Drosophila melanogaster: one gene and its partner. The protein of the gene in region 1 purifies or fractionates together with the protein of each later gene. This does not show direct contact. Each region holds a gene or a part of one and is shown in the gene's direction. Other genes may lie near its edges. The genes, in order: Polr2F and CG8117.

What was found.
Region 2: the proteins of Polr2F (region 1) and CG8117 purify together in Drosophila melanogaster (affinity purification with mass spectrometry, with the first as the bait; one large-scale study listed by BioGRID). This does not show direct contact.

The regions. Positions count from the first base shown.
Region 1 is NT_033777.3:5,369,661-5,373,048, forward strand, and holds Polr2F (RNA polymerase II, I and III subunit F), read left to right. Parts: upstream 1-2,134; 5' UTR 2,135-2,226; coding exon 2,227-2,255; intron 2,256-2,317; coding exon 2,318-2,684; 3' UTR 2,685-2,737; downstream 2,738-3,388. Other genes in the region: CG31542 (uncharacterized protein), read left to right, coding at 1-590; CG34277 (uncharacterized protein), read left to right, coding at 760-763, 826-1,716, 1,775-1,815; hd (humpty dumpty), read right to left, coding at 3,015-3,388. UniProt on the Drosophila melanogaster protein: DNA-dependent RNA polymerases catalyze the transcription of DNA into RNA using the four ribonucleoside triphosphates as substrates.
Region 2 is NC_004354.4:15,642,269-15,645,723, forward strand, and holds CG8117 (uncharacterized protein), read left to right. Parts: upstream 1-1,953; 5' UTR 1,954-2,022; coding exon 2,023-2,511; 3' UTR 2,512-2,723; downstream 2,724-3,455.

The DNA.
Region 1 (3,388 bases):
CGTGTGGCAAGTGCAACAACTGTCCCTGCGGCACCAGCGGCGGAGCCCCACCCCCCCAGCAGCCGCCCCACAGGCCACCCCCCTCGTACGCCCACCAGCCGCAGCAGCAGCCGGACAGCTGTCCCTATCCGGGTCCGCGGGGCCAGGGAGCAGGCGGGTGCCAGGTCAACTCGACGCAGCCGCCGGGCGATCCCGCCGCATGCAGCCTCTACCAGAGCCGGGGAGCCCCCACCGTGGAGTGCACGTGCACTCAGAACCGTAGCCGGCCACCTCCGCCATCCGTTCAGGCGGACCACATCACGTGCAGCCGGGGTCCGCGGGAGCAGCCGCCTGCCCTGGAGACCCGCTGCACCTGTCGCGAGAAGCCCGCCAAGACGGAGTGCCACTGCGCCCCGCCGGTGGCCCCGCCTCCCAACCAACAGCAGCAGCAGGCGATGGCCCAGCCCACCTACGCCAACGTGACCTGTGGCCAGAACGTGCCCAGAGGACCGCAACCCTATCGCCCGCACCACGGCAACCAGAGTCAGAACCCGAACTCCTGCGGCCACTGTCGATCGCAGAAGAAGCAGAAGAAGTGCGTCATTCAGTGATCTGGATGTCGTGCCACGGGAGAACGTTGGGATCCCAGCAGGCGCTACGCAGCAGGCTACACAGATTATAACGCTCACAACATGACATGACAGTACTCCCAAATTTCAGGTTAGCCAAATTTCCAGTTTCGACCTGTTTTCCGGGTCAATAAAGCCAATGTGACCGCTAATGGGTAAAGTAAAACAGGTGGTATGTGTGTGTTCCTTTAATACATCAGCGTCTCCTTCCGGACAGGGAACAGTCCGAGCGCCTACCAGGTGGGTCGGAGGCCAGCGCAGCTCAGCTCCGGGCAGGACATCTGCAACTGCCGCGGAAGCCAGCGGAATCCGGAGCGGAATCGCAGTCGCCACTGCTTCGTGATTCGCTCACAGCGGCCACCAAAGGGCGTGGCTGCGGAAACCCGGTGCTGCTGCACTCCTCAAGCGCCGATAAGCCGTAGTTTACCTCCGCCCACTAAGATCCGCCAGCGATGCTGCTGTGCCTTAGCTCCGGAGCCCGCAAGGCAAATGGTTTGCGACACCTCCGGGAACAAGCCGCAGAGATGCTGTACCAATTGCCCAGGAAACGGACATAGTGGAGCAGCTGCGCGGAGGACACGGGTGTATCATTCGGATCCATACCCCATCGGGTTAGGCGAGAATCGGAAAGTGGCTTTGGAGGAGCCAATTCTGCTGCAGCCGGACCCACATTCTGAGATTCCATGCAGCGACTCCTCGCGATCGTTTCAGCCCGCCGTTCACGCGATAAATGAAAACTGCCAGGAACCCCAGGATCCCTACTATCCGTATCCTCCCAGAAGCACGCGTCAGCGGGAAGTGGATCCTCTAGCCAACTTCGATCTGAATCGCTTCGACAGGGAAGCCATCCATCGAGGCCCCGCTGGCAGACGAAGAAACGTCTCCATTCGCACCTGCGTCGACTACGACTACGAGCCGGGATATCTAGCTCCAAGCAGTCCGCCCGGAAATCGACATCCACCAGCTCCATCCGGATATTCTCCGGCATACCCCCCTTCGTACGAACCTAATCCAGCCGGTTGTCCCGCGGCATCTTTGCCCAGAACTCGCCCACCAACCGCATCACTCCAGCGTCCATATTATCACAGAACTCATCCGGGATTACAAGGTTTGTATTTTCCAAGTTATCCAGGAGCAGGCGACTAATATTCCCTTTTTTTATTAAGAAAATACTGAATTCGATTACGTTAAATGTCCGTTTAGATGAAGGGCTAAAATATAACAAACCAATAGGTAAGTGTTTCATTTGATTATTATTTAACTATTTATAATTTAAATTTTATGGAATCAACTACTCTAATTGGATTAAATTATTTTAGGAAGACGTATAAATCAGATTTTAGTAGTTTAAACTTTAAAATATTCAAATAGTCTAACCTTTATACGAATTCCACCAATTTCAAATACTCGCGACACAGACGGCTATTCGATAAGTAATCACTTTTCCATTTGCCAGAAATGCAGCCCTGAAAGTTTGAGAAGCACTGGAAGTTCTGCGCACTGTGCTCCAGTGCTGAAAACCGCATGCAGCAGTGTGAAAGAAGAAGAAGACTGCGACGCGTGCAAAACACGCCGCACTTTACTATTTAATTTCGATTAAAACAATAGAAAAGCAGTGATGGATGATGCGGACTACGACAACGACGAGTAAGTGCAGGCGTAACACAATCAATAGCTGTGCCCATTAATCACCTACTTAACAATTGCAGCGTTGGCGGCGATGACTTCGACGACGTCGACGAGGACGTGGACGAGGACATTAACCAGGAGGAGGAGGCGGACAACATCGAGATCATAGCTCCCGGTGGTGCGGGCGGAGGCGGTGTGCCCAAGTCCAAGCGCATTACCACAAAGTACATGACGAAATACGAGCGCGCCAGAGTTCTGGGCACACGAGCGCTTCAGATCGCCATGTGCGCACCCATCATGGTGGAGCTGGACGGGGAAACGGACCCCCTGCAGATCGCCATGAAAGAGCTGAAACAAAAGAAAATTCCCATCATCATCCGCCGATACCTGCCGGATCACTCCTACGAGGACTGGAGCATCGACGAGCTCATCATGGTGGACAACTAGCTAGTACTCAACCCCTTTATCCATAATAAATCATACCGCCTAAGATTAAGCACAATCAATTTGGCTGCTGAATTCCCGGGGACTTAATGTAATGACGAACTGCAAGCGCTAATTGCTACACGATAGTTATCTTGTAAGCAATCCCTTTGCTTTAATATTATCTCTTAATACCGCTATAATCTGAAGTAGCCACAGATACTTGCTACCATGCGATTAGTACGAAAAACAATGACACCACGGGCTTGCTATTCTACTACAATATTTTATTTCACATAACAGACGTACAGATTAGGAAAACAAAGCTGCTCTAGTGTGAGGAGCACTTGGTGTCTAGCTCCAAGCATATCCCTCATCTCTTTGATAGCAAACGCGCTCTAAAAGACCTACGGCATGTTGGCCCGTGCGGCAGATGGAGCCAACTACTGCCGGCAGCAGACCACACTCCGAAAGATTCTGCTCGCCAAAGACCTGCCCGGCGGCATCTTCTCCTTCCGCATCTGACTGTGGCGTCTCCGGAGTTTCAAGCAGCTTTTGGGTGGCCTTGCTAAAGGCCAGCGTATTGATGCTGCTGGCCAGCGTGGAGCTAAACATCTGGCGCGTCTCGGACAGCAGCTCCGCCACACTGGGCAGGAATGTAGGTAGGATTAGGCCCTTAATGTCTATGCTAAAGTAGTCGACGCCATCCAGACGCACTTTCTTGGACC
Region 2 (3,455 bases), on another chromosome or scaffold:
TTTTGATTTGTTGTTTCATTTCTTTATTTTTTTGCATCCCAGTCGACCCAAAAAACACATATAGCCCGTTTATGAATCGCTTGTGGCCAAGCGGCATCCAAAAACTGCATCTACAGTCCAACAACAACAACAAACACAACAAAAAACGATGACGGTGAAAAAAAAGTTAAAAAAGGTAAAAAAAAAAAAAGGCAAGTTCGCTGCCATCGGCGGATTGCGCATTTTGAACGCCGGCGCGTACTAATCACTCGCATTGTTACACGATCACGCCATGGCATCACGTAGCCAAGGTGAAAGAATGCCACGCCGGGGGCGTAGCGGGCGGGTGGGCGTGGCAGTGGGCTGGCTTCGACGGGAGACAAATAGGCAGCGAATGTAACTGCACTCCGGCGATGGGAAACGTTCATCCAGCCATCGATTCAACCATCCAGCCAGGCAGCCAGCCAACCAACCAACAATTGGACTTTAGAAAACTTGGAAAATGCAAATTGATCGAGGTAAATTAGTGGAAAATTGCTGCGTACTGGAATTTAACTATTTAAGTGGGACATTTTAAGTTTTATTCACACATAATTGATGATTCTGCAGGAGTTATTAGTAAATCCTCATCGATCTTCATGTAATCATTCAAATGTTTTGTAATATATTATACATAAACCACATTGTCCAAACTTTATTTACTTATATTTGTGTTTTTTAAGATTTTTCTTCAATTTGATTTAAGATTTTGCAAGAATGTTATCCAAAAGCTAATGTATTTTGAACAGTAGTTTGAAACAGGAACATATTTGAGATATTTTCTTAAATTTTCTTTGGTTGCCCCTCATGTTGGCCACACACTTTCTTTTTATTTTCGCCAATCTGGAGAAATTGATTGGCCACAAAGGTTCAAGGTTTTACCCATTGTTCTGGGGCTTGTTTACCAAGCCAAATACGTTGTTGGCCGAAAGGTGAAAGACAAAAGGCCGCCAAGGTCAGTAATCGGCCGTGAACCAATTCCCCAGACCATTGATAGATAGATACATTTGTATCTTTATATTTGGGTAGCTTCGAATCGATGGCGGCTGTTTACGTTACGCTGAGGTCGTCAAGTTTAACAGTTGAAGGTCGGCGGAGGCGTTTAAAAACGCTAGAAAAACGCGCACGCACAGTGGGACGAAAGCGAAGCCAAGTGGGACGTTGGCAAGCGGGGGTGTGGCTGGGTGGTGGGTGTTTTAGATGTTTGTGTGGTTAAGTACATTAGCAGATTTATATCCGGCAACAATAAAAAGAACGATTCGCTAAAAAGCTAATGACTTGGATAATGATTTCGATTTTGTTTTCAATTTCGCTCGCTTGGGCTTTTTTCCTACTTTTTGTGGCTACCCCCCCCCCCCCCCCTTCGTCACTGTTGTTTGGCTTTTCAATATTTCAATTTTCCATTTCCCATTTTCCTTTTTTTTTTTATTACTCATTTTCCTTTTGTTTTTGGTGCTTCTGCGGGATTCGTGCGTCAATAATTAGATCATCTCCGCGCTGTTTGTTGTAGACGATTAGCGAAATCAAAAGCCAGCGGCGCACAAAGAAAGCGGAACGACAAACACAAACATATAGACTAAATGGGAAATATCATTTCCATTTCGATTTTGATTTTCATTTGTGTTTGGTTTTCCTTTCAGTGTCCAATTTTAGCACATTTCTTGGGGGCCACAGCGGGCGTTATGGAATAGTGATGCATTACGCAGGGGATTCCCAAATCGAACATTTATACATATGTAGATTTATCTATTCAAATTCATACTAATTACATGCTAATCACAACGGTTAAGAAATGATTAAGTAGAAATATTGCATAATAAATCCGAAATATTTAGACCTTAATCAAGTTGGGTTGTAAAGTTGCCGAGTAAAAACCTTCATTTACCTTGCCGTTCCTGTCAGCTTAGACATCTCTCAGTGACCTCTCAACTTCTCACAATCTAAAAATTGTGCTTTCCGGTTTCGTTGAATAAATTCACTAAACTTTCTTTCGATTTTGCAGCCATGTCCATGGAAATACGCATCAAGTGCCGCGAGATGTTGGCAACCGCATTGAAATCGGGCAACATGCCACCAGGATGTGGCGATCCGGATGACATGGCCGCTAAACTGGAGGACGCAATTTACGGCGACTTGAACGGCTGCAAGGTGAAGTACAAAAATCGCATACGTTCGCGTTTGGCCAACTTGCGCGATCCGAAGAATCCAGAGCTGCGCCAGAAGTTCCTATTAGGTCAAATAACGCCCGAAGAGTTATCCAAGATGACGCCCGAGGAGATGGCCAGCGATGATATGAAGCAGATGCGCCAGAAGTACGTTCAGGACTCGATCAATGCGGCACAGATGGCCAAGGTTCAGGGCACCAAGACGGATCAGTTCAAATGCGAACGCTGCGACAAACGCAACTGCAGCCAATTGCATATCCGTGATGGTGACGAGCCCATTATCACCTTTGTGATATGCGACGAGTGCGGCAACCGCTGGAAGAGCTAGACAACCGTGGAGAGAGTCCCTTGAAGGAGTCACCCGTCTTGGCTGGATACCAAGCAAACGAACTCACACAATTCACAATATCTCATATCAATAAACAGACTGATCTTCCGTTGGCTTCCACAATATGTAAATAATACTTTAACAAGAATACATACAACATACAACATACAACATACATATTATGGAAATATATTACATGTCATAAAAATCTTATTCATTCGTTTTAAATACCAGAGGGTATCAATGAGTCCATCATCGATGGATGCTCCTTTGTTCGCCTGCGAAAGCAGATAAACTAGCACCGAAAGTCCGAAAGAAAGCAAATCTTTGTTTCATAAACATTCAACAATATACGAGTTTGCTTGTATAAAAAACGAGCATAGCGCGAGCGTTAATTTAATGAATTTTTCGACTATTAGTTAGCACTTTACACTTTAATGAATCATTCGGCGCGATGATCTCGGAGTGGGTGGGATCGGATGGGATTGAATTGGATTGAATTGAATTGGATGAGATGGTATATATAGTATAGTATACTATGTTTAGTATGCGTGGGTCGTTTCCAAGTGCAGACAAATTATAGACGTTAAAGCATTTGCTTTATGGCCCACATTAACGGCATTGAATGGGATTATGGGTTTGGGATTCAGGTTTGGACTGCGAACTGGGATGATAGGTGGACTCTTGATGGGCACAATGGGAATTGCTCCCCAGAGACGGGCCAATTAATTAATATCCGCCGTCGTAAAGCAACAACAAAATGCAAAAGCGTATCAAGTAAATCGCATTAATTGGCCATTTGGCCAAAAAAAAAAAAAAAAAGAAACCATTAAAAAGAGCTTCAGAGCTCCGAATAAACAAAGTGGAAATGCGCCTTTCCCAGGCTTCCTTTCCGTTTCTTTTGGCGTTTTTATGTCCGTCTGGCGCCGATCATCATCATTTCT